3 linked regions of the Astyanax mexicanus genome follow. The protein of the gene in region 1 interacts with the protein of each later gene in a pairwise test. Links are inferred from orthologs where the notes say so. Each region holds a gene or a part of one and is shown on either strand. Other genes may lie near its edges.

Region 1 (11,024 bases):
TTAGGCAATTTCACAATTTACCTTAAATGGTACATCTATGCTCTCTCAGTAGCGCATGTCCAATACCAAAGCATGTTTAAGGTGGGGATTTTCTTTCAGTCATTGCAAATACTGGGATAAAAGTGGCATAAAATTGTGCTTTAGTGTTTAATCTACATTTCATATGTTAAGTATGGAACGTATGTTTTGGTCATGGTCAGGTAGGTTTAGCAAAAGGTTGGTAATCTGAATTGTATAAATCAGTTTGATTAAAAAAAGTTCCAGGAATGTAAATTAATGAGCTCAAATGTCCATTTCAGATGACCATCCCAATCTTTGAGGAAGGTATGGTTATACAAATAATAAATGACCAATAAATTAATAATTAATAATAAAAATAAATCTGAACTTTGGTTTAAATTCTACCAGCATTGTGTAGATCACATCTTGATTTGGGAACTACAAAATAGTATGAAGAATATCATTGTTTAACCAAAGCTTTGCAATATGCAAAAGAAAACAGAAGCACAACAATATCAAAACACATACACACTTGTGGGGGAAGGGAAGGGAAATTATTTTAATTTTTTTGCCAAATTATGCAGTGCTTTCAAAAACATCTTTAGAACATACCAATTACAATCAAATGGGGCATTTGTGTTTTTTCCACAGTGACACTTTAAAGGTTGGGACAAATTCAGAGCCAATTAAATAGAAAAACTTTTACACACATACACAGACCCAAAGAGGAGGGGAAGAGGGGGCAGGGGAGAAGAGGAAAAGTTCAAAAAAAAAAAAAAAAAAAGGTTATCTGGAGCAGCGATTATGTACCCAAAACATCAACATGCGGAGGAAAGGCTGATGTATTGGGTGCAAAATAGCTGCTATTTATTAAGAAATATAGAAGTATAAAGTTAAATAAAATCACAAGGAGAACTATATGAATACAATCCTAGTTACTGAAAAAGTGCCTAAACAACTGATTTAAAAAAAAAAAAGCAAAATAAGTAAGTGTGTGAGTGTAAAAGTTTTTCTTCAATTTAGAAATTTCAGTTCAGCATCTTTTTTTTTATTTGCACTCAAAAGCCTGTTTTCACCCTCAATACTGTGCATTATACAAAATAAAAGCATCATTATGTGCAAGATCACTGGCAACAGTCAGCACAGTGTGGGGGTTTCCACATGCTATAGGCAAACAGTATCTTTTTTTTTTTTTTTTAAACAAAAATAATATATTTCATCTTTTGAAATCAAGCCACGTCTTCAGCGTGACTTACACATTCAGTGTTATTACTAAAAATACTTTATCAGCAGGTTTAAAACAACCCTGCGCAATGTACAATATGCTACAATATTTTATACATTTCATTATTTACATGGCTCTTCTTACATAGCAAGCTTCGTTTTATCGTCTTTTAGGCGGCCGTTAACGGTTGCGCAAGAGGTACCGACAATTTCACACGCCATTTAACACATGAAAAAAAAAAAAAAACAATTAAGGGTGGTAGGGGGTGCCGTTTTGTTAAATGTACCCGCCACAGGAAGAACAGTAACTCAACAGCAGTGCAAAGTGAACACAAAGCATGAAAGGGAAGTGTATGGTTTTGGCAGGCTACGGGTAGGACCTTTTGGTTTGTTTGCTCCCCTCCTTATATGTAAACACATCCATACTCGTGTCCCGCGTCTCAAAACGTGCGCAGTGCTCCAAATCATCACCTCAGAACACACCACAACACAAACAAGGCCATAAAGCAAGAGCAAAGGTAGAGAAAAAACATCACCACCCTTGCATCCTGCAGGCAGCTTGGACCCCCCTCCGCATAGAAGTTGTGTTGTAGGTGTTCTGAAGGGATGCTCAAAAAGCTTATTAAAAACTTGAAAATAAAAAACAAAACATTACTGATTGTATTCTTAGATATATGTATAACACTTCACCTGTTCTGGCACATATGGCACTTAACCATGTGATAAGCAAAAGGGGACAAAGCTATTGCTTTAGTAAACGCAAATACTAACGATTGATTACGCGACAGAAATAATGCTATGGAACTTACAAACCTTGTTGCATTTCAACACCCATAGTGCAGTGCGCACAGCGCAATTTAAAAAGAAAGTACAGGAGTTGAAAGCACAAGGTCTGGGCATCACAAATACACCAGTCCAAGGTTAAACCACAACCTAGGACTGACTGACTGCTTGTTCTTCCACACTCAGCTTGCTCTTTAGAGCAGGTTCAAGCAGCTTCATCCCCCCTCTCATTAGAAACTAGACGAATGTTACTCAAATCTAAAGATCAATGTGCTACAAATGCTGATGTGCTTTAGCTCAGAGAACTTTTTGCCCAACCCCATCATGATTAAAACGTCATGCAGAGGGCTAGCAATAAGATTCTGGAAAGTAGAAAAACAAAACTGATGCATTGTCAAACTGGCGATGTGTAACGTAACTAACGGCCAATAAAAAAAGAACAAAACAAAAAACAGCGAGGAGGAAACAGTTCATCGTTCATCAAAGGCATACAGCTCCACTAAGAGCTCTCCCACCTGCAAGGCTGCAGCAGCTAAACACCTCTTGGGACATTAAAAAAATAGTAATAATAAAAAAGGATACATAGCCCAGTTCCATCTACTTGGATTAAGGCCAGTCTTCAATGAAACAGAAATGTAAATAGCTAATGTTGTACTATTAAAAAAAACAGTTGGGCCAGAGTTAATCTTAATCTGGACCAAAGAATCTAGATCAGAGTTGGTTTAAGCCTAATTGTGAACAAAATGTTCAAATCAATGAAAATTCACCACAGAAAACTAGCCTTTAGTCCAGATTTAGGCTCCTTGACCACATCTGGGAAACCTGCTCAAAGTTTAAAACAAATCTTTGTTAAAATGGGTTTAAAAACTGGTATTAAAACACTGCAGCGTTCCAGGAAGGTAGGAGTCCAAAGTGGAGCGATCGTTAAACATCGAGAGATCATAAGTGAAGGTCATCCTCACGCTTGCACCTTTAGAAGGCTCTTTAACTGAAAGGCCATCATCTCACGGCGATCGCAAGGACCCATGGGCAGAGACACCCAGTGACTGGGTGGTTTAGGAAGAACGCTTGGAGATGGGGGGTCACTGAACTTGGCTCCTGCGTAACTATGGCCACACTGCGCTGCCAAGAGGTTGTTCAGATGAGACACTGCGCCCTCCCAGTTTTGGTCGTACGGTGTGGCGAAGCGAACAGTCCCGTTCTTTTTCTCCATGGACACGGCCTGCCGCGCCTCGGGAGACCACGAGTAGCCGCTACCCTTGTCACTCCTGCGATGGCCGTGGAGATGGGGGCCCGCTGGGGCTCCAGAAGACGCAGCAAGCACGCCTCCGTTTTGGTTACGGCTTCGTTGTTTGGCCCTGCCAACCTGGTGGTTCTTTTTCAACACCGAGTGATCGGGGTGGGACACTGGAATGTTGTATCTCTCACCACCTCCCATACTGCACACACTGGATGTCACCTTTAAGAAGAAGAATAGTACATTTGTTAAAACCAAATTATTTTGGGCATTAAAATTGTTGGTTTCAAGCAAAGAAAAGAGGGGAAGCATACAAATTGCAGCATAGAAAATATTTAACTTTCCTTCGAATAATTAATGTAAAAATCAGGACAAAAAGAACTGAAACTTAAGACAAAATGCCGAAAATATTTAAAGAAAAATTTCACTAATCACTTGTATATAAAAACAAATGACTAAACAAGCTGATGAACACGACCAGACCACCAATGCATACACCAAAAGATGTGTTTTTAAGCTGCTAAAAATCTACAAGAGCTCAATTTTTTTGTAAAATGCATTTCTGCCAGTTTAAGTATACAATAGTCATGTATACAATATAAAAAAAAGGTTTCGTTCAGAGAAAACCTGAACAAAACAGAACAATCTGATCACAATCCATGCTGCATTAACATTACATAACGGGCTTATTTTGGTTTGGGAGAAAATATGCAAAACTGAGCTTAATCGAAGGGGGTATAATGTTCTACTGCTACATTGACTAAAAGTTTAACTAGAAGGAGGAAGTCCAAAGGAAAAGGAAATAAAACTGGTCGTGTTTCTTTTGCTTGGCAATAACAAAGACCTACGTGCAGAGCAGGCAGCAGCCTCAGCCCATCCCCCACAATGTTGTCTGAGGAAGTACAGGCTTACCTCTTTGTGTTGAAGCTGAGTGCGTAGATGTCTCTATTTCTTAATTTCTCCTCACCAATCGGGCTCCAGGTCCTCGAAGTAGTCGATCTACTTCTCACTGCACGCTTTAGGCCCACAGTGTCTGAGGTTTTCATGTGCCAGCAAGCGATGTTTGGTCGTGAAGCCGAGCTGAACATCAGTTCACCCCAGCACACGGCGCACTGGGAAGCCGCGGATCTGTGAAAGAAAACAAGAAGAATTGAGTGGGGGCAGTTTTGTAATTTTTCTACAAATAACAGACTCAAGGGAAGATTAGAATATGAATTTAGAGTTGTGGGGATAATCACACTGGATAAAAAAAAAAAAGTAATGTTTGTGGTCTATTAAAGTGCTGTCTGTTACAGCGTATTAAACCCAAGCAAAGAGATTTACAGACAAAATAAAAATAGATAAATAAACAAAAAGACCAAGCAAACACTAAGAACCAAGCAAGAGAAGACAATTATTTGTCGACCTAGATATTTAAGCTTATGGTTGACAGTATTTCCGCTGAAAACAAACTATGAACCATGGAAACCTAGTTTAACATTATACTCAGTTTCCTTCTTCTTGTAATAGCTAAATGTATTAAGAACATTTAAGCTTAAGCATCCAGACAGCCAGTTAGTCCTTAATACTTAATATTACCTGAACCAAATTGTGGATTTTTTGAATGCCAGAAATATTAAAATTATACAACCCACAACTAAATTAAAGTTAGATAGCGAAACTAGCTTAATGTATTTGTGTTACATAAAAGAGCTTACTGATCTTTTTAATCATGTATTAGCTACGTTACATAAAAGTTAAGCTTAAGTGTCCAAGTAACTTACAGTTCCAGAAACTTAACAAAATGTAGATTTTTTTTTAAATGCCAGGAATATTAAAATTATACAATCTACACCTAGCTAGGTTGTAGATTAGCCTCCCTATCTTAAACTCGTGCGTTAAATAACTTAGGTTAACCTTAAGTTACATTAAACAGTTGACTGAGTAATAATGAGGGGGGTTAAATAAATAAATTATGAACCATGAAAACAACTATCTAAATAGGATACCTAGATAGTTAACAACGAACTTCATAGTCTGGTGATAGATAAACTAATGCGAGTTATATATTAAGGAGTATATACTAAAACATATTCTACAGTAAAAGCAGATAATCTAGGACATGAATTTTGGCTCCACACCAAAACAAAGAAACGTCCCTCTCAAACATGGCGGCGGGCTTTGTGAAGAAACACAACAGAGCCGAACAACCGTCGACCTACCGACTTCCTCCGGGTTCTGATGGCGAAAGCCAGGCGTCTGATACAGGCTGGTTATTTCTGCTGCAGCTCTGGGGGAAGAAGTTCCTCACACGGTGTGTAAAAATCCTCTAAATTCCCGAAACTAGCAGCCCGGATTACTCCTCTCTCCTCTCCTCCGTCTCTCTCTCTCACAACAAAATGGCCTCGCCAGCAAGAATAAGTAGTTCAGGTCTGGCGGGAACCGACCAATCAGCGTAGAACAGCGAAGCGCATTGACCAATAGGAGGACCGAGACTGGCCTGTTGCTGCGCTCGTTACGTCACAAGCCAGGCAACCATCTGTGGGGGTTTTTCTTCACACAGGAAAACATTTCAGTTTTGGTGTTTGTCTGTTTGTTTTGTACGTTTTTCAGCTTTTTAATCCCATTTAATTTCATTCTACATTCCTTATTGAGCGCATTTCACTCTCTACAGTTCGTAAATCAGGTTTTCTGACTATTTCCCAGAGTCCTTTTTCTAGTTTGTGTTGCTCTTCTTTGTTGCAACGTTGAGCAGTGCCAGCTGTTCATCCTGCCCAACAGTCTTCACTTCACATACTCACATTTATACAGTTTCTTATATTTATACTGGGAAATATGATCATATTTCAACACCTGCACGTTTCTACGACTCTTCAACTCTTCCATGTGGGGAAAAAAAAGACAAAACAAAAAGACAAGAACTGAATCTCACTCGGAAAAAGAATATAACCTAACCTATTCTTTTAAGTCGAATACCAGGTGATGACATATGCATATAAACACTGGTTTATAGAGCCCAATCTTTGTATGCTGAATACATATAAACATACATGTCTTAATTTTGTACCAACAACATGACTCATAGCCAGAAAAACTACCGTCACTGAAGAGCACACAGCCAAAAGTAAAGAAATTCCAGTCTCTTTTATTATATACAGTTAGGTCCATTAATATTTGGGCAGAGGCACAATCTTCAATATTTGCATTTTATAATCAGTATCCAAATCTACCATAAATAATAAATAATAGGGGACAAAAAAACATCTAAAGAAGCCTTCTTTGGACAGGTGAAACTAAGATCTGCTTGTACCGGAATGATGGAAAGAAGAAAGTATGGAGAGGCTTGGACCGGCTTGACAGAAAGTAAACCACATCCTCAGTATAACATGTATGGGCATGCATAACTTTCAATGGCACTGGGTCACTATTGTTTATTAAAAAAGACTTAAGCACAAGGATGAATTCTGAAGTAAACAGAGATTTACCTTCTGCTCGGATTCAACCAAATGCAGCAAGGTTGGTGACGGTGCTTCACAGTACAGATAAACAATGAACCACATAACATAGTTCAAAAGCAACCCAGGGAGAAGGAGAAGAAATGTACTAATCTAAGTCAATCAATAGATCTGAAGCCGATCAAGTTAAACAAAACTAAAGGTTGAAAGACCCACAAATCAGCAACAACTGAAGACATTTGGAGTAAATGTCTGGAAAAAGCATTGTGAAGAATTAAACCCAGTATTTAGTGACGTGCATGGCCTCCAGACTTCAGACAGTCATTGTCTGTAAAAGATTCTTAATAAAGTTTTAAAAATTATCATCTTATTTATGAATTCATCAACTGCTTTTAAACCCCTGCAATATGGTAACTTTGTAAAAATATCTGTTGTGATTCCTAAACACCTCATAAGATATTTTTGTTTAATTCTGTGAATTAAACCAGAAACTCTACAATTCCAAGGCATTTGTTTCATTTTAAATTCAGTGTGGTGGCATAAAGAGCCCAAATCATAAAGACTGTGTCACTGTCCAAATATGTATGGACTTAACTGTATGTGCTCTATGTATTGCTGTTTATATTTTCTACATCATTTGAACACATCAGCTGTCTTTAACATTATTATTTCCAACTAATAATTAACATGCAAACACTGGTTGAGTTAAGAAAACAAAGAAAACACTCTGTTTCCCCAACACCTAACCACCACCTCAAACAGTTCTCGCAGGGTACGGGGCTGTTATCACCCATCCCCATGTTTCTCACTTCACCAGATCAGAAGGTGTGGAGTTTGGGTTGTAGTAGTGCTAGTAATGGCAGGAAGATGACTCTCTTTCTCTTTAGAAGGAGTTTTGGCCTGAAGTTGGGGGTGGGGATGAGCTGTTAATGTTTGGTGCTCTAGAGCCGAGCATTTGTGGCTCCTCACACCTCATAGTGAGTCTCGTAGGGGTAAATGTTGAATGGGAGGCACTGGAGGGGATCGATTTGTACTTTGCAACAACTTTATTTATAGGTGTTTATAAGAGTTAACAGTTTATTAATAAATGCATACAGCCCTTCAAAATTATTTCAGGCAGCCTTTACCTGCTCTGTTAACATATCCTTAGATTCATACTATAAACACAAAATAGTAATTACTATTTAGAAACAGTACTTATTGATAAAAGGTGTTCATGAAAGGGATGTGCTGATGTTTGGTGGCATTTAGTGTCCTAGGATACAATTAATAAATCCAGTAAATCTTTTAAAAGTCCCATGATCTCTTCCTGTAAACCTAAAGTATAAAATGCTTGAAAAACGACAGCAGCTTGAATCTGGGTTACAAGTGGCTGTTTAAGAGAATGGGAAACACATGTGTCCACTCACTCCAAATGCCATAATTCAGCCCAGGCATGTTTGGTGCCTGGGTTCAGCTTTTTAAAATACGAACTGGAGCATTGTTAACATTCACTGGAAGCCAATAGTTACCCAAATCTGCATCTAGGCTTTATTAAGGTGGGCATGACTTGCTGATTTGACATTGCAAATTTCTGTGGATTACAAACATTAACATGGATTCATACAGTGTGTTTGGGCATATTGTAGTTTATAAATGTATTGACTTTTTACCATTTGTTTTTTTTTATTATTATTTAATAGTTTATCTAGGTATGTTTGGTTTGATCTCTTTTATATTTATGCTTTCTTAATTTAAACCCTCCTAGATTCTTACATTTATTTACTTAAATTTATTACCTTTGCATTTTAACTGTCTTTTGTCAAAGGTGATTAAATATAATTATTTTTATTTTCTTTCAATCCCTGTCTGTTGTAAATACTCAGCTACACTGAAAACGGTGGTCTTCCTCAAGGTACCTTCAATGTAAAAAATTAATGTTGATGGTCTGATGTAAAACATTTGGGCCAGTACTGATTTCTACAGTTCATCAACAAAGTTAGCCAATTATTTAGCACTAAATATTCAAAGGTTTAGACCCTAAATATGGGTTTCCCTACATGCCAAGGCGCTTCACCAAACCGAATACTGTGAGCATTAGTGCAGCATTTGTTTCATAACTACAGGATTTTACCTCCATTCACACTATATCAGTGTTTTTCAGTTTCATTTACTGAAGGACCATTGTCCAACACATCTCAGTGATTTATTGTCTCAGACAGACACACCTGTTTCAACTCATCTGTCACTGTTAATGTGTGTGTTTTAGAAGGGAAATCCCCCAAACAATGCACTACCAGAACTGAGAACCATGTGCTAAAACATTCAGGAATCTGATTTGACTTTAGTAAAATATCCGTGTGGAAATGCAGAGCACAGTGTCATGAAAGAAAGCAGAGTTTATACCCATTATGAATACAGTGAGGATTATACATAAGACTGGTAATGTCCTAATCAAGTAATTTTTCGCTCAGATCCGATGCAATTCATTTAATGGTGAGTATCAGCCAATACCAATACTGGTCACGTTTATGTCTGTATTAATAATGTAGCCACTCAATTTTAAACTGAAGTAAAATTACTTATTTTTGAGCTGATTTTTTACTTACTGTTTTATAATGTGTTTAATACAATATAATCCAGCCTGACTATTCAGGTCCAACCCTCTTTAAAATACTGCAGTCAAGTAACTTTTTGTGTGTGTGTGTGTCTGTGAAAGACAGAACAGTACATCCTTAATTTATTATGAGTGTAGGACAACATCAATATGCAAGTAACAGTTTTTTTTATTTGATTTTAAACCATCACAATATATTGCCTTGCGTACAGTATCACAATATGTTGTGATATTTTGAATCTTGGCCCCTGTATCATGATACATATTGAATTGATTCTTGCCAATAAACAGCTCTAGAACCTGGATCTGATACCAACAAAATTAGATTGGGATTATGCATCAATGCCACTGCACACTACTGGAAAATCACCAGAGCTAGACTAAGATAAACACCCGATTTTTATTCCATGATTGTGATATAAAATCAGAATTTAACTTTAAACATGATTTAGTTAATCTTTTTCAGAATTTTGCTGAAAAAAAAAAGAAAATTAATAAAACTACTAGCAGAAACGTTAGCAATAATAATAAATCAACATGATCTCAAACAGGCAACTTTACATGAAAAAGTAAAGCAACATTCTCATAAAAGGGACAAGGGTTAGTTCATAAACATCCAATTGTATGTTCCATCAATAAAAGTGAAGGCCTAGATTGGCTTTTAAATAATTATCTGCAGTCAATTTTTGCAGAGTTTGCAACCTTGTGTCCATGTCCTTATGTTTAGCAGATTAGCTTTGAGAACATAAACAAGTCTTTCCTCAAAATATCAGAAGTCTCAGGGGCCAATCATAGTCCATGTGCCCATATTGTCCTTGTCCAGAAAATAAACCAATACTAAAAATAACCTAAACCAAACACCACAGACCTTGTGGAGACCAGAAATATTCCTAGGTGTAAAAATATATTCAAGCAATATTTTTTTTTTTACTAAAAGAAAAACACTGTAATACATGAGAGCCTACCACCTTTCATTCCATCTTCTCAAGGCCATGGTGAAATTCCTAGTGTCTACAAAACATTGGTAAAATGGCTGATACCTTAATAGGGAATTTGCTGACTATTAGTGTCTAGGTATCAGTACAGTTTAAAGACTAAGGAATCAAATCTCACAAACAATTTATGAACTTATAATGAACCAAAGTACTGTCCTTTTTTTTGTTAAATAATTATGAGACGTTTGAGAGTCCTTCTTTTCTGTCTGCTTGACTGCAGAGTCCACATTCTGTAAGATTATATTTAATCTTTAGTTTAGAGACTCAGTGTTGTGGCTGGTTGTGGAGGTCTCTCTGTCCATTGGCTGGTCTGTGGGCTCAGATGTTGGCTCAATCTGTCGCTGATCCTCTTCACAGGCACTAGGGTTCCTAACACAAAGAGTTTGTTAGTATTTGTGTCAACATTGTGAACAGCATTGGAGGATTATGTCAAAATATTTACTATATATATATTTTGTTGTCTATTTGTGTCTTGTTAAGAGTGTAATGGTCTTAACACAGAAAATACCCAAACAAGTTGCACACATGAAACTCACCCATCGTTACTAGAAGCAGCACTTTCTTTTTGCATCTTGTTTGTTTCTTCGTTGTCTGGTTGTAGGTCAGGCTCTGCTTTGCGCTTGACTCCCTTAGACCTTTTTGCAGCTGTTTGACCACGGACACCCAAACTCTGAAGCTCCCGGCGAACAGTTCTGGGGCTGACTTTTTTTCCAGAAGCAGACTGGAACTCAGCAGTGAGTTCTGTAAGTGAGGAC
Region 2 (11,025 bases), on another chromosome or scaffold:
ATATATTAGTGGTATTTTATACATTACTTATTTAGGTTGTTTATTTGCTTTTATTATATCATTGCAGTAATAGTGTTATAGTGTAAAGTTGTTATTTTTGCTTGATTATTTATAGCGTATTGTGATATATTATTTTCTTATCATATCAAAATTACACTGAGCCTAAGCATATTGAGATCATCAGTAAAAAAAAAAAAACACTCCAACTGACCCTACATTTATTTATTAAATCCAGTTTTAATTAATGAATTGCAGTGGTTTTGACTTAGAATATTTATTTAGACTAAAAGTCATGCTGGTATTGGATAGTATTTTTTTGTGTAAGGATCTGTTGCTATTGATCATTACGTCAGTTATTTAACTGCAATCATGTGTCATCATGTATTATGATAAATATCATATTGTGCTAAAATGTCTTTAAATATTGTGATATATTATATTTTTTGAACATTTTTATCAGATCGCACAGCCCGACCTCTATATTATGTGTGTGTAAGTGTGTGTGTGTGTGTGCTCTGATGTCTCTGAATGCTCTGGCTCTGAATAAAGCAGCCCACCTCCTGAATTTATTAAGGCCCAAATTTGACAAGTTGATTTTAAACAACTCCAGCGGCGGCGGCCTGCATTGACTGCGCGCTCGGCGGCCAAGCCGGCTGACATGTGACCCGCGTGAACTTGCCCTCCCCTATTGACTGCCGTGATTGATGCTCCGCCGAGCTAGCCCTGATAATTCTTAGCCGCGTGTCAACAGCCGGTGACCAAAGGGGTCATCACTGTCTTTAACATTTCACACACACAAATACAGCCGCGCACACGCGAGCGCTGCCGGCTCACGCGCACATGCAGCGCACACGCAGTCGCACAAACAAACAAAAGAGGCCGTCTGGAGCTAACGACACTTTCTGAAGCCGTGCGTTAGTTGTGTTGTGTTTTTTATGCCCCTCTTTTCTGTGTTAGCACAAGTCTTTTGTCTGCCAGCACTCGAATTGAATATCTGCCTATCTCTGCGGGGAGATCGTGCCTCACTTTTGGAGGCGAGGCGAGACGAGGCTCGGAGGATGTAAAACACCCACGGCAGCGATCCTCCGAACAATGGAGGAAGGAGTTGTGTGAAAACTGCTAATGGAAACGAGGGGCAGCTATTGACACGTATCGACAGTCGGGGCAATCAGCCCGGCCTGGCCGTGCATACTTAAGTTCAAATGTATTCAGCAAGGCTGCAGGGATTAAAGCCTATTAATGACAGCCTGTAGCGAGAAGCCTGCCTCAACAGTCTCTCAGCTGCCTTTTTTCTGCAATGACTTTATGCTAAGGAGAGCAGGTTAGCTTAGTGAAGGCGTAGTGAAGAGCTGGCTTTTATGGCTGCTGTAGACCAACAACAGTTTTCTTGTATTGTTTTGGTGTTAATTGACAAGTTTAATTGACAAGTGGCAGGGGTTTACATTTTTTTATTTTTACGTTCATTTTAAAGAAGTGCAGAAGAGCAGCACTGTAATCTTTGTAATGACTGTAATCATATATATATACTTATACTTATATAAATATACTTTTACTTATATATATATATAGGTATATATATATGTGTACTTTTACTTTTAAATATATATATATATATATATATATATATATATATATATATATATATATATAGAGAGAGAGAGAGAGAGAGAGAGAGAGAGAGAGAGAGAGAGAGAATTTTACCACTTTTTCTACATAGTCTCAGTGAGAGCTGGGCAATATATCAAAAGTATTATTATTTTTTAAAAAATAGATAAGAATTTAGATAAAAAAAGTTGTGGAAAACATATGACTCTCTATATACAGTATAACCACATGGTAATATTGTGCCTTCTGCATAGGTTACCATTTATCTATTATTTATTCCATCAAATAACATGCATAGGTCATTTGTGGTCATTTGCTTGGTTTGGTTCCAGGAGGTTTGACACTCGACAATTAAAAGAGCAGCATGTTGATTTAAAGCAAGTGCAGTTTACTGAATCAATGAAATTTTGTGACAAAGAAAACAACTTTCTTATGTTTATAAAATATATTAATTATTTTAAAAAACCTGGATGCACTGATATGTACTATTTAAATATCCAGTATACACTGTGTTTTTGATGTTACACATAAATACAATATACATTTTCAGTCATATTTCCTAGTCCTTCTCCCAGCACATACTCTAAAATCTAAACATATAAACTGTACTGCAAAGACTCAAAAATCCCCCCTTCTCTTTTATTTGTATTTTTTTTGTCTGAACTGTGCAAATTACGCTTGTTTTTCCACTCATCATCATCATGATTCCTGCATGCATCTGAGCTCTGAAAGCGCCGCCGATTACTCTGCTTCTGCATGCGCCCACCATTTGATCCGCAGACATCTTAATATGAGGAATGTTTGTTAGTCCCCAGGGATCTTTCAGAGCGCAGGTATCCCCACTCCTGCCTTTCACATGCCGGCGCGAGTGCCGCTCCTCTACCATTCGCTCCTCTCCTCCTCCAGTTCTCTGTTCAAACTGCGTAATTAAAACATAGTTTAAAAACATGTTTTTTTTTTTGCTCCATGCAGCTTTGAATCTGAGCTTTAGTATTTTTTTGATCAGCGGCCTTATTTTTGTGATGCTCAGGAGTAGTATACATTGTTTTAAAGCAGCCACATGAATACATTAGTGCAACTTTGCAAAGAGAAGTTGAAATATTTAAATGGGCGTGTGTGTGTGTGTGTGTGGTGTAAAAAAAAAAAAAAAAAAACTCCTTTGTTAGGCTCACCGTGTCCTTCAGCAGTGCAGAATACTTATGCTTTCACATTGCTTATGCTTTTTCTTAAAAGGAAATACACTCTCACTCTCAGTTTTTTCTCTCAGCTGCTTAACTAAAATGCCAGGTATTCCAGATCCAGTTTCTTTTATTTTCCACAAAAAGCTTCACTCTAAAGTGTTTTTCTAGTCTTTTTTCCTCACTAATTCATTTGTTTCTATTCCTTATAACTTAGGCTTGTTCATTGAGTCCTTGGCAACATTAATCTAAGATTTCATTCACTGATGCAGGCTAGTAAAAGTTCTGAATATATATTTCTATGTATGTGAGAAAGTATGCGCTTTTGCCACAAAATCTTGATAAATATATATTTTTTGTTTGCACGCTATATTGCAATTCGAAATCTGTAAAAAACAACCAAAAAAATATAAACAAATGTTTTTAACAAAAGTCAACACATCAGCTCATTCACAGTAACAGTATCACAATATATAGCAATTATGCAAGTACAACCTAATAAAATACAATCAAACTTAAATAAAAGTTTGGGTGATGTATATTTTTATATATTTCTACGTAAGCTGCTGTAGTCCATTCTGTGTGTATCTGTACCTCGCTGTTATTGAAGCACTGGTCACTGTGTAACAGCCTTAAATGTTAGTTCATTCAAGTTCATTCATATGTAAGAATGTTAATATGCAACAGTAATAACACAATGGATAAGTCATGTGTATGTATTGTTTAGTAAGTTGATATTGTTATTAATAATTATAGTACAATATCATGACAGGCCTTATCACAAATAAAATAAATATAATTTCATAATCTGTCCAGTAATAATCTGTAGATAATGGGTTATATATTTTTTTTATACATAGATAAATTTGGCTTTAAATTTCATTAATCATTTCATTTAAATTTCTTTAAACTTCAATAATCTCACTCTTAGACATAATTTAGATAGTATAGTTGATAGTTGATAAAGAAGATACTGTAAAGATGCTGTGCCCATCAGACTGTGCTTTATTTAAGGAAATTCCCTTACAGCCTTACAGTCGTGTAAGTTTAACTGCTGTGTGCTCTCTTTTGTTTTGAGGCGCAGGAAAGGTGTGTTTTTGGGGAGAAACAGGGGCTCGAATCTGCAGCAAGTTTTTGGATTACAAAAGGCGGCCAGAGACAATTTGGGCGGCAGCGTGGTGGGGCAGACACAATAGTTAGCTGGCCGCTGCGGCTCCTGAATTTTCTTATCAGTGGGGAATTGCGCTGCGCTGAGAGCCCAGCAATATCTTCCCTGCTGCTGCTGGAAATGCAGCGAGCGTGGTGACACACACACACACACACACATACACACACACACTCAGACATGTGCGCACACATTTACACACACGCACACACACATACACACCGACTCAGGAACAGAGAGAGAGGCGCGCAAATGTGGCCCAATCATTCTGAAACAAAGGGGAGTCTTTGATCTTTTCTCACGGACGGACCCAATCCCCCCCACCCCTCCACACACACACACACACACACACAAACACACACCATGCCTGTGAATAATACAAGCCAAGCCATCATAGTTTTGGTCCACTCCAGACAGCTCAGCTTCACTTCAAAACATTCTCCACACTTTTTTTATACACTATATACTCTCTTATACACACTAGCTATCTATATACCACATAGAGTATATATGAGAGTATATAGTTATATAGTGCGGTAGTGTGGAGAACTTTCTGCTGAGAACTTTTTGCTGTGTGTACACAAAAAAAAAATAGAAATTCTTATAGTAGAATATATTAATATATATATATATATATATATATATATATATATAGTAATTATATGATTGTAGTATTGTACATACTACACTATATATTGTTTATAGCTTTATAGTATCCTCATATAATTTATACCATATATACACTATATGCTAAATTCTTTGATGTACAGTGTATATTTATATAGGATGTATTATAACCAGTGCAAAGTCAGTTAGCATAAGCGTATGCACATGCCCCAGTTCAGAGGTTAACGTAAGTGCTTGTTCTTACAGTTCGCTGGTTTCCAGTGTGGGATCTACTGGCGCGGGACCTTCCCGGTGCAGGCAGGACAGACAGAAGGCGAGAGAAGGATCTGCAGAGGGAGGTGAGCGAGAAAAGGAGCAAACACATTGCTCGCAGCACACAGCTTCATTTACAATGTTTTGTATCAACAAAGTGAGCGCCTTTATCTCCACGCTTGACAGTGTGAGCCCGCAGATAAGCAGTGCTGCGAGAGAGAGACATGCACCGCACTGCCTCTTTAAATCTCTCTCTCTCTCAAGCTCTCTCTTTCGTTATACCCCCCTCTCTCTCTCTCTCCCCCTCTCTCTCTCTCTCTCTTTTGCGCTTGCTCTATCAATCTATCTACCCCCCTCTCCCCTTCTTCTTTCTCACTGGCTCTCCCCCGCTTTGTCCCCTCCCTTCCCCGTCCGCCCGCTCTCCCGGCTCGCGCACACAGCACCTTGTCCGGCTCCAATTGGCTGAGAAGTCACCAATCTGGCGTCGGGAAGGGCCGGGGGGACTGCATATGCAAAGCCTCGCTTCATATTAATGAGCAGCAATCGTGGCTTTAAGTCCTTGATTAGAAGAGTGCAAGAGCTTTTGGTCCCAACTGGCTGTGCCTATAGGCTTGTCACCGGGAGAACGCTTTCTGTTAATTGCACCGCTCGAGTGACGGGACAGTGAGAGGAGGAGAGAGAGAGAGACAGACACAGAGAGAGTGAGAGAGAGAGAGAGACGCAGAGAGAATAAGAGGCAGAGAGAATAAAAACAGAACTTTGATTTATATAGAAGGGCTTGCTCAAATGATGGTCGCAGAACGCAAATGGAGTCGGTAGAACTTTCGCTCCCCGAGTGTTTCTCGTTACACTCTGAACAAGAGTAGGTAAATTTTACCTTTTCTTCTTATTCCTCTACTACTTATTGCTCTACCTGTGACTGCCTGACTTGTGTATGTGTATGTGTGTGTGTGTGTGTGTGTGTATATGTACAGTATTTGAGTGTGTGTATATGTGTTTGTATAGATGGTGCTTGTCATTGCTAGTCATGTGCGGATATATATATATATATATATATATTTTTATGTGTGTGTGTGAGTTGTAAACAGTATGTGTGTGTGTATGTGTTGTGTTCCTGTACGCTACCTGCAGTGCATGTCTTAATTATTAATATTAGCAGTATTATTATTATTGGGGAGATGGACCCATAGCATGTCCAGGTTGTTGATATTCTTACCGTTACTGTCGTTACTATCGTGGTCACTGTAACTGTCAGGTAGTTAGTCTAAAGCCTACAGTGTGTGAGAGAATAAGAGTGTTAGAGTGTGTGTGTGTGTGTGTTAGTGCTAATGCACAGCTATAGGTGCAGTGTGTTCAGTAATAGAGAGAGTGTCCCTTACCTGTGTACTTGTACTGTTGGTTAAGCTTCCCTTACAGGGAGCGAGTGCTTAAAGTGCAGCACTCTGAATTCTCAGAGAATTCTTTCTCACTTTGTGTGTTAAAACTGACCTATTCATTGTTCAGCCACTCTCTAACTACTATAAGTGGAATAATAGAGAATGAAGAGAATGATTTTATATATTTTTTCATTTTTTTAATAAAAAACGAAACAAACAATGAAATAGTTAATTTTTGGCGTGTAGGACCCTGTGTTTGTGAGAAAGTATGGAAGAGGCATGATGCGAGAGTAAGAGATTGTAAGAGAGAGAAAGAGAGAGAGAAGGGAAGAAAGTGGTCCTTAGAGAAGGAGAGCTTGAATCACTGACCGGCCGCTCAGCATGTGGCTCACCGGAGGCATTAAGGACGGCACGCGAAAAAAAAAGTGGCGGTGTGAGAGGGGGTGAGAGAGTGCAGGACAGATGATGGGGGGTTGTGGTGGTGGTAGTGAAAGTGGCCCTGTGCTTCAGCTCCGTCTCGCTCGCTCTCCGCTGTCAGAACGGCTGGAGGAATCCCTGAGAAAGTGATCCATAAATCAGTCCCAGCTGAAGGGTTGAGCTGTATATTTTATATTTTATAATTTTATATTTATATATCACTTTTGTGTGTGTGTGTGTGTGTGTGTATGTGTAAAATAATGGTATTGTAATAATAATAATATCTTAAATAATGCCATTCTTTCGTGTAGTGCAGCTTTGAGACTGATCAAAACTTTAGGAATCTTGATACATCATCCATATCCACGTATATATATATATATATATATATATATATATATATATATATATATATATATATATATATATATATATATATATATATATAATTGTTTATTCTAGTCTATTAATAGTTCCAATCTTTAAACAAACCTTCAGCTATTTTTTTACAACATATATACTCTTAATATAACATATACATATAATTGTATTATATCATAAAGGAGCATGAAGTTCTAAGTGGGTTGTATTTGATTTAGTATTTGGCAGTCAATGCAAGTTTATTTATTTATTTATTTATTATTTTGTGTCTGTGTGTAATGAAAAATCACACACCATAGACCACTGTCAGATTAAATTGAATTTTATTATTACAGATATAGGCCTCTTTTTATCTCAAAAAATAAAATGACATCTTAATATTTTAACAAGTTAGCATTGTTCTGGCTTTATATATATATATATATATATATATATATATATATATATATATATATATATATATATATATATACAAAACTATATATATATATTATATAAAACTATGTTAACTCTAGCGATGTGGGCAGCCAGTGCAGGAATCAGAGTCAGGGCCAGGGGACAGAGGGGACGCGGGAGGCACGCGAGAAAGCTCGACCTGTGCATCTTCCTCTTCCTCAGTGCGTGCATGCAGGCAGTACCAGAGGAGTTATCATGAGTGCAGATTTGATTGTTTGGTTGTTTGATAGTTTTAATTGATTGATTGAAGGATTTTACTTTGAACACACACTCTCTAACACACACACACACAGATACAAAGGTTGGAGCCTGCAGGATGCAGTGATTCCTGTTCAGAAAGTAGAAGTGTAATATCATGCACGGATAATGTAAAGGTGGTTTAGATCAGTGAAGCCCTGGCTGAGGTTCACACAGATACAGAGAAGGTTGTGGGATCCAGCTCTCAACCAGAACAGCTCGGCAGCTCTTTACCTTCGGCGTGCTCATTACGCTCTCTGGATTAAGGCTTGTGAAAGTAAATGTAAAGATAAGAACATCGCTTTTCCACAGCTTGCTTCTCTTTTTTCCCCATTTTCCTCATTTGCTGCTTACTTACCGTTTGATCTTTTCTTATAATACAAATTAACTGGCAATATTCTAATTAGTATATTAACGCTGGCAATAACAACAAGTGGCAGTTAAGCTATTATCATAATTACACTCGCTTACTGCCATGCATGTACATTTCATTTGCATGCTCGTTTTAATATTTACACACACACACACACACACGCTGCACAAGATGAGGTTTAGGAATTCAGATTCAATAATCCAAAAGCACATTTCACACCCTCTCTTTGTTTTTAAATTTCCTTTCTGCGGGTGTGTGTTTGTGTTTGAGATTGAGATATTTGCTGTTTGTGCAAAGAAATGTCATTACAAAAATTATATATAAATACATAAATAAATAAATAATTCTTTTTTATATAAATATAGTGTTTTTTATTTGCTTTTACTTTACAAATTTTTACATTGAATTGAATGAAATTTGTGATATTCCTTATCGTACGTCTTTGACATTTCGCATGTACACACACACGCACACGCAAATAAAATAGTTGTTAAACTGATTGTGTGATAATATCATGTCCACACACATGAAATATATAAATATATAAATATTATTTGTTTCATATATGAAAATGTTAGTATTTTTCTGAAAACACCAATTTAAATTCAACTCAGTAGTTGGATGTTTCAGTTTAAAAACAGGAAAAATTGTGGTTTCGCAATTTAATTGTTTTATATGTGTAATAATTACACGAGACACACAATTAATACAATTTTCCAAAAATGCAAGAATCTGTGTTCACACCAATTTTTCACGGCAAAAATCAAGCGACATCCTCCAGCAGAATAGCGGCAATCAAGGGTGTCTGTTCTCTCGGCGGCGCTCAGATCATTTAAATTGTACCTGGTATCTCGGTGAGCGTTCAGGCGTGTACGACCTTTTGTCGCTTGGCCGTGGATTTGCCGGCTGCTCGGACCTGCGGTGGCCCTTGAAGAAAATGTGATGATTTTTAAGCTCATTTCCACCTTTTCTCTCACTTTTTTTTTTTGCTCCGTGTGAGAGGAGAGGGGGTTGAAAGCCCCGGAGGCAGGGAGATCAGAGGGGGAATAAAGGGAGATTGCGTAAATTAAATTCCATTTAATCTCCTTATAAAATCATTTAATTAATTTATCTTTTAAATTATGTCAATATTCATGCCACTGGTTTGCATTCTTATTTAGTCCTCTGTCTGTCATACTCCTTTTTCTCTCACATGTGCGAGAATGTGTGTGTGTGTGTAAGCGCTACTGGCATTGTTGCTTTTGAGCTTGTTTGGATTCGGGTCTTTTCGCTGTCCCTTGTGTGAAGGTGTCATCCTTGTGTGTGTGTGTGTGTGTGTGTGTGTCTGTCTGTCTCTGTGGCCTGTTGTCGATTTCTGTCTGGACACTCTTTTGTCTTTACGCCGTTCTGCTCATAGAAGACGGAGCTCTGCCACTTCCTCTTGTTTGAAGGGGTCTGAAGCATTCCAAGGGTAATTAACTCGAGTTAAAAGAGACAGAATGCCACCCCCGCCCCTCCGTCCGCCGGGACTCTTTCAGGAGAAAAGAAGGGATGGGAGGGCAGTAAAGAAAAGAGGGGAGGTATATTTTTTGGCCTTTTGTTCCAAAGGTGCAATAAGTGGCCTCTTGGACTTGTGCAAGTGTACACACTCGTACACAAACTCAGGCACACACACACACACTCACGTGAAGCAGCCGCAAAATAGTCACACGCAGGTGCTGTGCGCTTGGCATCACACACATACACACACACACGCACACACACGAACTAGAGGGGAATAAAAGAGCACAGGGACTGATGATGCGATTGTCAATTTGTGTGATTTATGTCACACAATCCGTCATCATTTGTTTTCAGTTCTTTTAAAACTACTTTTTTTTTTTTTGAAGACAAAATGAAAACTCAGCCTTAAAGGTTTTAATCAGAGTTGTTACACAAGATTTTATACTGCAATTAATAATTACACCAATTACACTTTATCCCTAATAGGAAAAAAATATTTCGTTTCATGATATTTAAAGATTTTTCTGAAAGATTCATAATCTACGCTAAGAAAATGGATCAATAGCTGAATAACAGTGTTCTTAACAAATGCCGAATTATTAAATATAAAGCAATTAAAAATTGTATTTATAGTAAAGTGTTTTACTTTAATTCGTAATATGCTTTTTAAAATTAAACACAACTACAGTTATTGCACCGTTTGTAATTAAATGTAATGCTCGCTCAGTTGGTCAGTTTTTTTAAGCACTGATGATATCTACAATATTATAAAATCAGTATGATATATGATAAAATATCGTAATTTTGACCCATCTCTTAGTTTCTCTGGTCTGTGTTGGTAATCTCTTCATCTCTCATGCTCTTCTTACCTCGTTCTGTGACTATTCCCGTCTGTATATGGTATCCTTTGCTGTAGGTTTGAGGAGAGGAGAGTAGGTGCGCTGGAAGTCGTGGTGTGGGATGATTAAGTTACAGGAGGTCAATAGAGGCTGTGGTCAGTCTATAAGCAGGAGGATACGGTTGGGTCAGATGAGCATGTGAAAATATTCAGTTTTTCACTCAGAGTGTTCTCTGTTGGAAGCAGGACCCGAGTGCTCTGAATCAGATGGTTTTGGAATTCTTTCTCTGGCTTTATGATTATTGCACGCTTGTTTTATTGGTTGTTGATAGCTGATGAGAATTGATCAGCTGGTATTTGGGTTGTCAACAATCAGATGTGTTCATATGGGTTTAAGTAATGATGGAATTAAGTGAGGTTCAAGTAACGCCTGGTCTCTGTGCATGTGAAACAGGGTAGAAGCTTCAGGAAGAGGGGGGGTAGAGTCTGGATCGTAACCATTGGATTTTGATTTTTCTTTTTTACCTCCACTGCTCTTGTATTAAATGATGAAATTGTCATTGTCCTGTAGCAGAGAAAGGGAAATGAATGGCCGTGTGGGCTGGCAGCTGACAGTGAAATATTTCAGCTCTTTCTCC
Region 3 (11,781 bases), on another chromosome or scaffold:
CCAGCATTGTTATGGGGGGGATCTTTTTCCTCCAAAAGTGGACTTCATTTGGCTCTCTACTCCAATGCCCCCTAAATACACGAGCACACTTCAAACCTTTTAATTTAGACATATTTTATTTATTATAAGTTTGTTGTGAATCTGTTGTTGCTGTCCTTATGAACCTAGACTTCATTGTCTGTCTCTGTTGTTCACCTCAGTTGTCTGTTGCTTTGTTCCATTGTCTCTGTTGCTGCCCTCCATTGTTTGTCTCTGATGTTGCTGTCCTTTATTGTCTATCTCTCTACTATTGACATAAATAGATAAGAATTACTTCACTATCGGTATTGTCATTAAAACTTAAACATGAATTAATAATAATATAAATTGAAGTGTTCTGTCTTATTCAAATCTTCCTACAACTGTGCTGGGACTTCGTTAACTTAACTTAACGTTAAACACAAAGCGAAACACAAGCAGATTTAAACTCTAAACACAGTTCCGTAATCCGGAGAGGCAGACGGTTAGAATGGTGTATAACATGTCCGCATTCGATCAAATATGGACGTAGGAAAAACGCAAATATGAAAATCATATTTCATAACTAGGCATATTTCGCCCTAAATGTTTATTTTCTGAAAGGAGATACGGTTAAATAGGCTAGATAACTGAAAAGCTTTAAAATGGCATATTGGGTGTCTATTGAACCTATAAGTATTCATAAACACAGCCAGATATTAAATATTATATTTTTCTGGCCCGCCGGCGGGCCAGGGCGTGTTAAGAGGTTAACCCCCTTTTTACACCTCTATACTGTATTTTATATATGGAGAGTAAAATACACCCTAGCTTGATCGTCAGCATTGCAAAGTGAGTGACTGAATGTTATTGTCACTTAACCTACATTTCTTAAAATTCAACTAAAATCCAGACTTTGGAGTTATCCCAATAATAACAGTAATAATCCGGTGTTACATGTACAATATACTATTGGGCTTAGCCGAGCCCGGCACTGTTAATGCAGGGGAGTTGTAAAGAAATAGAAGCCCTGCACTCAGCAGCTTACCGATTTTGGGCCTTTTTTTGAACAAGTCACCAATATTTTGGGACAATGTTACCGCCGTTTTCTTCCGTTTTCGCTCCTTGTCTTCTTTTTTACCCATTTTGTCAAGTAACTTTCCCCTGATTCTTATTCTTTCCACAAGCTAAGAACAGAAACGGGGGAATTGCCGCCACCTACTGGATTGGTGTAAAACAGTCTGAACAAAATGTGTAAAGAGAAACATTAACCATTTTTCTTACTCGTCACTACTCTGGGGGCAGGAGGGGAGTTGGGGTGGCTGAGGGGGGGGATGGGGGGGATCGAACGAACCCTTCGATCCCCCCTGGCTACGGGCCTGCCATAAGGTATCTTAATGTTCTTTGTTTTAGTTTTAATTAGTATTTAAAACAGGTCAACAAGACCTGTATAATCTTTACAAAAATTATTTAATACCAATAACTCCAAAAAGTGCAGTCATTTAATACCACCGTTAACATTGTTAATTTCATACCAAAATATTTTTTTAAAAATAAACGTATAAATGGATCAATAAAATAAACAATTCAAGTAATGTTATTGGGAGTGTATTTATATTAGTGGTGTTAACTGAATAAAAAATCTGATTAATCATTATCAGAATTATGTGACTAATTGTGATTAATCATATTTTGTTTTTCTTTTTAAGACCAAGCTTTAAATAACAGCCAAGAAATAAGTGTTGATTTGCTCAGTTATATTTAGAATATTGGTTTAAATCACTTAATTTTCAGGAATCCATTTTATTATAAGTAAAATCATTATCGATTTTGTTATGTGTGTTATGCCATGCACACTAGAGACTTTTTTTATACGTATAGATTACTAAAAATCAGAGTAGTTACTATAGCAGTTTCATAGAAGAAATAAAATGCTAGTGTAGCTCCATATTCTTTTATCTTTATCAACCTGAAAATAGGAACCATGTACCACCAGCTGTGTGTGAGAGAATCTGAGTATAACTTGTCATGTGAACAATCCCCCCCTCCCTTTTTTTTTAATTAGGTATTAAAGTTTCCAGATTAAACGTGTTACATGTTGACAGCCCTATTTCATACACTTGTTTTTGCATATTTAAGCTGTGGTCAACTGGTTTGAAGCGGGAAGCCGTTTGACCAATGCTTGATGTTGATGCAGTAAATCAAGTAGATCAAGGCGGTCTGGCACTCGAGACAAACAGTCCTCAATGCTACCGAACATGGCCTCTTCCAAAGCTCTGCGTTCTTTCATAGCTGGCCTCAATATTGATGGAAACTCATAAAAATAGAATGTAGCCTGACATGATCTAAAATCTGTATACAAACAGCAGCAGAGACCCTCATTCCTGGAGAGCCTAACATCTGAAGTGTATTTGGAAGAAGTATGAACTTCTTTTGATCTTAAGTATCCGAACGTAACTCTTCAAAATATCGAGAGTGTAAGAAATTCCTAAAGTGTGAGAGTCACAAAACATGTCTGGATAAGCAGAAAATTTGATTCAACATAGTGTAATTTACAATTTACAACTGGTCTTTTTAATGTGGATTTAGCAGTGTGCAATTTCCCAATAAAAATCTTTTTGGGGCTTTCTGAGATTTAGATTTAGCATCAATTAAACAACAACTATTTACAGTTTACAGCATTTACAGTTTAAATTAAGAAAAAGTAAAGCAAATACCAATACCACTCACATCTGGAATGAATGTGTGGTCGTTGCTCTGTGGTCGTGGTTAAATCATCAATTAAAAGTCATACAGTAAATTATTCTACTCGGCTGCCTGTACACAGTGTAAACCTGTTTACACACACAAAACTACACTTTCTGCCAAGTCCTTCAACACTTAAGAAGTCTTGATAAACCATCTCCTCACTGAGGGGAAAACAACCAGAACTTAAGAAGTCATGCATGAACAGATCACAAAGCAGGTCAAAGACAGTCGAAAAAAAAAACAGTCTGTTTGTTTGGCTTTCTTTGGAAACTAAATACGACAACATTACAAACATTCCTAATGGGGAAAGGAATTTCACAAAGCAGTATCTCAAGGGTACCTTATCTCATGTTCTTTTCCATCTCTGAAGTTGAAATCGTGCTCAACTGCAATCTCTGCAGGCCCAGCTTCAAATAAACACCCATATTTGGTAGGGAAATTAAAATCTCAGCCTTCCAATATAACTCACTGACAGATAAAGATCATATTCCCATTACACTCGATGTTATTAAAATGTCATTTCAAGCACACGCTCTAAATTTTCACCATAAGCCGATGGAAAGCTTTTATTTTTATAACATTAAACTTTAATTATATATCCAAAATAACATACCTAGACTGATCACAGTCTTCAAAAGGCAAGTAATGAAAGCAGTCTAAATTTACATCCATTAAATCATAGGTAAATTTAGTATTACAGATGTCAGAATTAATCCAAATTTATCTGGGATTCTGACAATCTAGGCATAGGGAATCAGAACTTTAATCCTAAACAAGTTCTGAGTGTTTGTTTTAAATCTGACGTTCTTAAAGCACTATTAACAAACATTGATGCCCAACCAGTGTCACTGGGGAGAGTTCTCAGAAGATAAGCGAACAAGTTCAGTTGGAGTTTGGAAGTATTTTACAGAGAAACAGAAAAAACATCATTATATCTGAAACTATTGAAAACTATTGTGGAAACACTGGATGTTTCTGAGGGTAGATCTACACACATTTCTTTGTTTTTAAATCATGATTGAACACACTAAAAACACTCTTAAACAATGGTCACTGAAATCAAATTAAAATAAGAGCAAAATGCCTTATTATATAAATTGTTACACAAAAAGGGATTTTATCTCACAATTTATTAGCAGACATTCCTAATTATAAAAGTTTATACATGAAGTCTAACATTTATGCCATTTAGCTGGCATCTAGAGTAATCTGCATCTAAATTATAAAACCTGACCGGTGCCATAAATGCGTATGACAGGTGTAGACAGTGGTAAACAAGAGATTTTTGCATCAAGTGTGAGATTTGGTCACTGACAGAACCAAAGGCAATGCAATATACTCGAAAGACTCTAAGAAGCCAATGCACTTCTTACCTAAATGGACACATCAAACCAACTTTTTTTATACAAAGAGTGTATAACACATTACAACAGCGTACCAAAGAGTTATGCTTCCCCAAAGTTTTGCAAAATTTTATGTAAGTGTTTTTCAATACAAGTATTTGGGCTATCAAACTCCATGCTAGTACTTAAACAAAAGTGTGGACACTTACAGCTTGCATTCCTGTAAAGCAGGAAAGGGTCCTGAAGCTGAAACTCCAAGTCTTTATTGATTGGCTCCACCAAGTTCTCTGTGCTCAGACGATTCATGATAGTGAACCCATGATGGGGTGATGCTGACCTGCAGAAATAGAGAATTCTCTTCTAAATACAGTACATGAGCAAAGCCAACTGATTATACAAATTAGAGAATACTTACCTGGCATAAACAAATAAAGTGCCTTCAATGTCAGTTTTTTCCTGTGAAAAGGAAGTTACACGTTAGTATGTGAAATTGTTGGGCTTTAAAGATATTACTCATATCTGAGCACAAGTAAAAACTACACACTTGTGTTCAAAACTTGTAAAGAATAAGAATACAATAAAAACACAAAATAAACACTCATAAATAAACTACAATTACCTGTCCATAGTCCTGTAGACATAACTTTTTTTTTGTATGGACACATATACACACATTATTATGATTACTATTATTGTTTTTTTTATTATTAATGGTGTATATATATATATATATATATATATATATATATATATATATATATATATATATATTTTTTTTTTATTATTATTATTTTTTATTATTATAAGAAATATTTTTGGTAACTAAATCCCCTGATTTTAACAGACTCCATCCTCAGCTCAAATTTGAAAAAAAAAAAAAAATAAATAAATTAAGGAGTAGTTTGGAAGGAGCACTGAGTGATGTATGGGTTTAGGGGCGGGACAGAAGGGAGGGCTGATTTGCATATTGTGAGTACATGAAAACATCTTTACCTATAGAACAGTTGAATCTGTGAAGGCACTGCAGAGGCAGAAGTCAACGCAATAAAATCGTGTATTAAAAGGTATTAAAGGTTAGGAAAAGTTTAGAACTATTTTAAACAGGACTGATAATTGATGATTTTATTACTTCAGAGGAACACATTTAACTCTTAATGACAAAAGATTATGATTTGGGGTTAAGTACCCCTCTACTGTAACTAGAGTAGGTTAGTTTAAGTTATCCTGAGGCTGGACAGACTAGCTAAGTTAGCTACACACCGTAGTTTAACAGCTGCGTTATTTACAGTGAATGAGAGAACTCGGAGCTTCAGCATTAAACACAGAGAGAGAGAGAGAGAGAGATAGCTAATCGGCTAACTGAGCTAACTTAATCACTCCGCCACAGCCTAAAAAAACACCCGCTTACCCACTCGCTGGCTTTAGAGTTAAACTTGTAGAGCGCGACCTGTCCGGTAACGTCGAGCAGCTTGTTGATATACGGGTCGTAGTGCTGCAGGGCCGCCAGGCTCATCAGATGCCCCGCTTTATTCACTGACTCCATCTTGCACACTGGCCCGCGGCTGCACGGAACTAATTGAGGGGAACACAGCACCGCTTCGCTTTCTCCTTCCGGAGGAACGCAGGTGGCAACAAAACACTGGTTCCGCGTGGTGTATAAAATCAAATGAAAGATTTATTATAAATGTAAAGGTGAGTAAAAAACTTGGGTGCAAGTTCCCACTAGTATGTAGAGAACAATATTTACAACATAGAGTAGAATAAATAAAATAAAATAGAAAGTATACAATTAACTTAAGCAATATACACAATTACTTTATATATTATATAACTCTATAACATTATAGACATATGGTATTGCACTGTAGATGTAAGGTAAAATATATAGATATTACAATGCTATATACATGTGCAGATATCTAGAATATGTGTGTGGAAGTCCACAAGGTGACAAAGTAACTATGAGTAAAGTGCAAATAAATAAAATAAATAAACAAATAAATAAACGTACAAATAATTATGTACATTTAGCAATAGAGGACATTAAAGTCCATGGCAGGGCCTGAAGGAGGCCAAATGGAAATAGTGGGATAGAGGAGGTAAAAAGTAGTTAAAAGTAGTTATTTTAGTTTATTTATTTTTAGTTAGTGGTGTTAGGAAAGTAAGTGCTCTTTAAAGATCTCTGCCTTTAGGAGGTTCTTGAAGATAGGGAGAGATGCTCCTGCTTTGGTAGCAGTATGTAGTTTGTTCCACAATTGGGGAACTATGTAAGAGAACTGTCTGGATTGCTTTGTGTGAATGTTTGGTAAATCTAGACAACGTTCCCAGGAGGAACGCAGTGGCTGGGAGGTAATAGACATTTAGGGTGAGTGCTGTTCCTTCATCACCTTGTAGGCAATTGTAAGAGCTTTACATTTAATGCGAGCAGTCAACGTTAGCCAATAGTAGCCAGTGGAGCTCAGTGAGCAGTGGGGTGACATACAGACTTGCCAATTCTTCTGGAAGTTGCAGGAGTCTACTGCATATCAGTAAAGATTGCCTGATGACCGCAGGTCACAAAATCTCCAAGAAGAGAGGGTACTGATTTGCCTGTTCTCTGGAAAGAGTCTGAGTCAGCCAATCAGTTTTAAGTGTGGGCGGACAGTGTTTTTTTTTTTTATGGCTCCCATCAAAACTCCTTGAAATTAATTTTTGCAACTTGGGATGTCTGGACATGCCTGCTGGTTTTGGTTGGTTAAAGACCAGGCATGCTGCTGCATTTTGGACCATCTGTAGTGGCTTTGCTACAAAGGCCGGGAAACCCTTTAGCGATTTCTCTTTTGAGACAATGACGGATTAAAACATTATATCTCTAAAATGAACATATTTTTTTCCTAATTTCATGAACTTCAAAATGAAATACATTTTGCAGCATTTCTATTGGAATTTTGAGTATAAATTTCAGTTGCATTAATTTACTGTTTCCTGTCAACACCAGGATATCCGGCACATTGCTGATTTGATTGCCTGTCAGATCTCACTGTGGGGAATGATGATTTAAACGTCTCACAAGATCAAATCTTTTCCAGAATCAGTTGGTTCATTTGATTCGATCTCCCAAAAGCTTCACTTTTGCCATCACTAAAACAAACAAACTAAAACAAAAGAAAAAACATAAAAACAGCAACACAATCAACAGGATCAAATAATGCATGGCAGAGAACAAAGGAAAACATGGAGTACATCATACTGTATATATGCACACAGACACAGACAAGGAACACCTGGCCAGGTTAACAAGGGGGCATGGTTACAAAAGAGACACAGGTGGGAACACTTATGACAAGGCTGGGCTTGGGCGGAGACAAAAAAAGAGCAGAAGACAGGAACATAAAGGACCAAGAAAAAAAAAACCAGACAATCGTAGGCTTAAGGTGTAACAGATAGATCTAAATCAATTATGACTCCAAGATTATGCTTATTGCTTCTAAACCAGAGCTAACAACAAATCAACCAGATTTAACATTACGTCTGACTAATTTCTTGCTGCTTGTGGAACACAAGGAGAACATCTGTTTTGTCACTGACAGAAAGAAGTCTCGTTGCAGGTGGTAGCCATGTGAGAAAAGAAGCTACCACAAGATGTCAGTGTGAAACAAACTATATTTAATAAAAAAGCTCAAACGGCATAAAATCTCCCTCTGTAAATAAGTCTGTTGAAATATATATATATATTTTTCAATTTTTATTATCTCACACAAATCCCAATTGCTGTAACTTCAGATTATAAATTCCCTCGTCTTTAGACATTCTTATAGTTAGTAATTGTGTTGTACTAAAGTGTTTATTTTGAACAACACAGTATGAATTAAACATTTATTAAGGTGGAATGGGACTGTCGGAGAAACATTTAGTAAGAAAACAGAGAAGAAAGTACCAGGCTATGGCCTGGAATAAATCAGTAACCCCCTATGGTAAGGAACATTAGCTGGATTATTATTGGGAGATTATCAGTTTGAAAGTGTTAGCTGCTAGGGCAGGTAATCCAACCCTGTAGGATAAGTCTTCACATACAGCACATTATATTTCTTCCAGTTTCAAGGCGGAATGTGGCAAACTAATGTCGTCCTTTGGCTACAAATCAGCAGGAGGTGAATGGCATTCATTCCTTGGAGAGCAGGGCGCCGAGGTAAGACTTTGATGAGGAGGGTCTGACTCATGAAGCAAAAAGCTGTCTGTGGATGGAAGCTGTTTCTTGTTCAGGCCCTTTAGGCTCCTGCAGTAGGTCATTACGCAGGACCTAATTTAATGATATATTAGCGCTGTTCAATGTGAATCCTGAAGATAATAGTCTATAGACTGGTTGTAGCATGCTTACTTTGCTTCTAAATATAAACTTAAATCTTTTAAGCTACTGTCCTGAGCACACAAGATCAGTTACATGGGAATTGGTTTTCAGCACACTTAGAAGTCTTCAAAGGCATATGCAGTTAAAATAATAAACAATGAACATCCATAAACAGGCTATAATAAACAATTAGATGTGTATATTCTATTAATATATGCTTTTTACAGATTAAGATAATATTTTGTACTGTATTGTATTTTTTACCATCATGGTTCAACTATGATCATTCACTGTACATAAAATAAATAAATAAATAGTAATTTTGTAATATAAACGTTATAGTATACAGTATATAACCATATAAAATATAAGCACAGTAAATTAATCATATTCCTTGTACATTTACACTAACTTAGCTCAACGTAATCTTAGGCTTTCACTTAAAAGCTCCAAAATGTAACAGTAGGGTACACCTGTCAAAGTCAAAGTCAAAGTGGTTTTTATTGTCATTTCAGCTATATACAGAGTACACAGTGAAACGAAACAACGTTCCTCCAAGGACCATGGTGCACATAAACACAGTGTAGACAGAACAATAGTGCAACAGTACAAAAGTGCAGACAGACAATACAACACCATACAGACAAAGAATAATAAATAAATAACAAGACAGTGTGCAAATTTTGCAGTGTGCAAAAAAGACCAGGTGAGGTAGTAATTACTCTATTACACAGTGTGCAATAGAGTCCAGTGAGGTAGTAGGGTTTTTAGTGCTTTCCATTTTCTGGGGTAAGTGGGGTAAGAGTGTGTGTGCATGTACAGAAAAACCATCAGTTCAGTCTCTGCAGTTAAGGAGTCTGATGGCTTGGGGGTAGAAGCTGTTGCAGAATCTGGTGGTGCTGGACCGGATGCTGCGGTACCTTCTTCCCGAAGGCAGGAGGGAGAACAGTTCGTGTGAGGGATGAGTGGGGTCATTCACAATGCTGGTTGCTTTGCGGATGCTGCGGGTGGTGTAAATGTCCGTGATGGAGGGGAGAGAGACGCCGATGATCCTCTCAGCTGTCCTCACAATACGCTGGAGGGTCTTGCGGTCAGAGACGGTGCAGGTCCCAAACCAGGCAGTGATGCAGCTGCTTAGGATGCTCTCAATGGTCCCTCTATAGAAGAGTGTGAGGATGGGTGGAGGGAGACGGGCCTTTCTCAGCTTCCGGAGGAAGTAGAGACGCTGCTGGGCTTTCTTGGCTGTAGAGCTGGTGTTCAGGGTCCAGGTGAGGTTATCTGCTAGGTGGACACCAAGGAACTTGGTGCTCTTAACAATCTCCACAGAGGACCCGTCGATGTTGAGTGGAGAGTGGGTGTGTTGTGCTCTCCTGAAGTCAACAACCATTTCCTTTGTCTTGTCCACATTCAGGTGAAGGTTGTTGACTGTACACCAGTCTGTCAGCCGCTGCACCTCCTCTCTGTATGCTGACTCGTCGCCTTTGGTGATGAGACCCAGCACGGTTGTATCATCGGCGAACTTGATAAAGCTGTTAGAACTGTGTTTTGCAGCACAGTCATGAGTCAGCAGGGTGAACAGCAGAGGACTCAGGACACTGCCCTGGGGGGCCCCCGTGTTCAGTGTGATGGTGCTGGAGGTGCTGCCCCCGAACCGGACTGACAGGGGTCTACCTGTCAGAAAGTCCAGGATCCAGTTGCAGAGGGGGGTGTTGAGGCCGAGCGAGCTTAGCTTCCTGGTGAGGTTCTGTGGGATGATGGTGTTGAATGCTGAACTGAAGTCTATAAACAGCATTCTGACGTAAGTGTCCTTCTTCTCCAGGTGGGTGAGGGAGAGATGAAGGGTGGTGGTGATGGCATCGTCCGTGGAGCGATTGGGACGATACGCAAACTGCAGGGGGTCCAGTGAAGAGGGCAGTTGTGTCTTGATGTTCCTCATGACTAGCCTTTTGAAGCACTTCATGATGATGGGTGTAAGTGCAACGGGACGGTAGTCATTGAGGCAGGACACTGTGGACTTCTTCGGCACGGGGACGATGGTGGTGGACTTGAGGCATGTTGGGACAGTGGCGCTGCACAGGGAGATGTTGAAGATGTCCGTGAGAACATCTGTCAGCTGGTCTGCGCACTCCCTGAGCACTCTGCCGGGGATGTTGTCTGGTCCTGCAGCTTTTCGTGGGTTGACTCTGCGCAGAGTGTTCCTCACATCCACTGCAGTCAGGCACAACACCTGCTCGTCTGGCTTGGGCATGGTCTTTCTCGCCATCGTGTTGTTTTGTGCCTCAAACCGTGCATAAAAGTTGTTTAGGGCATCAGGGAGGGAGGCATCACGTTCACAGGACGGTGGCATTGTCCTGTAGTTGGTGATTGCCTGGATGCCCTGCCACATGCGCCGCGCGTCACCCGTGTCCTTGAAGTGGCTGTGGATTCTCTGGGCGTGTGCGCGCTTTGCCACTCTGATAGCTCTTGACAGGTCGGCTCTCGCTTTCCTCAGGGCCACCTTGTCACCCACTCTGAAGGCGGAGTCGCGGGTCCTCAGCAGCGCACGTACCTCAGCAGTCATCCAAGGCTTCTGGTTTGGGCCTGTGGTGATGGTCTTGGAGACAGTGACATCATCAATACACTTGCTGATGTAGCCAGTGACTGATGCTGCATACTCCTCCAAATCAATAGAATTGCCTTCAGTAGCAGCCACCCTAAACATGTCCCATGCAGTGCACTCAAAACAGTCCTGAAGGGCAGAGATGGAGCCTGCCGGCCAGGTTTTCACCTGCTTCTATTGGAGCATAGATATCCTAAGTATTGTTTCTTAATAAGAATACACAGGCAGATTAAAGAAACCTAATCAATTTTATCTTTATGCGCACAAAAACTATCCAGCGCATAACTCTTCTTAGCCAGGGTATCTTATGAACTTATCTTGTGCAAGAGAGGGAACTCTTGGTCTTACTTTTCTGGGGTGGTCCTAATGAGTGCCAGTTTCATCAAAACTTTTTTATGACTGCACTTGAGGATACTTTCAAAGTTCCGGAAATGTTTTGGGCTGACTGACCTTCATTTATTAAAATATTTTTTTCTTTACTTAGTTGAGTAGTTATTGCCATAATATGGATTATAACAATACTAAAAAGGGCTGTTCACTGTATTATTCACTTTACAACACAACTGATGCTCTCAAACACATTAATTAAGAGGGCAACTCTTAACGAGGCACAGCTATTAATTGAAGGTCATTCAAGGTGGCTCCCTCATAAATTTGATGCTCACAAGCTGATGGAGAAAATAATTTCAAATTATGCCAAGATGTGTAAAGCTGTCATCTAAGCAAGCAGCGTTATTTTGAAGTATCTAAAATGTTAAACATATTTT

Evidence for each region.
Region 2: the proteins of pnrc2 (region 1) and esrrga interact in binary tests that used the Homo sapiens proteins (3 or more experiments, as listed by UniProt). The link is inferred for Astyanax mexicanus from reciprocal best matches to the Homo sapiens genes PNRC2 and ESRRG.
Region 3: the proteins of pnrc2 (region 1) and dcp1a interact in binary tests that used the Homo sapiens proteins (3 or more experiments, as listed by UniProt). The link is inferred for Astyanax mexicanus from reciprocal best matches to the Homo sapiens genes PNRC2 and DCP1A.

The regions. Positions count from the first base shown.
Region 1 is NC_064411.1:32,344,423-32,355,446, reverse strand, and holds pnrc2 (proline-rich nuclear receptor coactivator 2), read right to left. Parts: upstream 5,632-11,024; 5' UTR 5,446-5,631; intron 4,373-5,445; 5' UTR 4,157-4,372; intron 3,467-4,156; 5' UTR 3,446-3,466; coding exon 2,966-3,445; 3' UTR 533-2,965; downstream 1-532. Other genes in the region: uncharacterized protein LOC103038371, read right to left, coding at 10,521-10,638, 10,806-11,024. UniProt on the Homo sapiens protein: Involved in nonsense-mediated mRNA decay (NMD) by acting as a bridge between the mRNA decapping complex and the NMD machinery. May act by targeting the NMD machinery to the P-body and recruiting the decapping machinery to aberrant mRNAs.
Region 2 is NC_064421.1:38,112,525-38,123,549, forward strand, and holds the start of esrrga (estrogen-related receptor gamma a), read left to right. Parts: upstream 1-5,348; 5' UTR 5,349-5,633; coding exon 5,634-5,689; exon of another isoform or gene 5,690-5,693; intron 5,694-11,025. UniProt on the Homo sapiens protein: Orphan receptor that acts as a transcription activator in the absence of bound ligand. Binds specifically to an estrogen response element and activates reporter genes controlled by estrogen response elements.
Region 3 is NC_064419.1:11,675,020-11,686,800, reverse strand, and holds the start of dcp1a (mRNA-decapping enzyme 1A), read right to left. Parts: upstream 5,678-11,781; 5' UTR 5,632-5,677; coding exon 5,497-5,631; intron 4,545-5,496; coding exon 4,504-4,544; intron 4,426-4,503; coding exon 4,298-4,425; intron 1-4,297. UniProt on the Homo sapiens protein: Necessary for the degradation of mRNAs, both in normal mRNA turnover and in nonsense-mediated mRNA decay. Removes the 7-methyl guanine cap structure from mRNA molecules, yielding a 5'-phosphorylated mRNA fragment and 7m-GDP.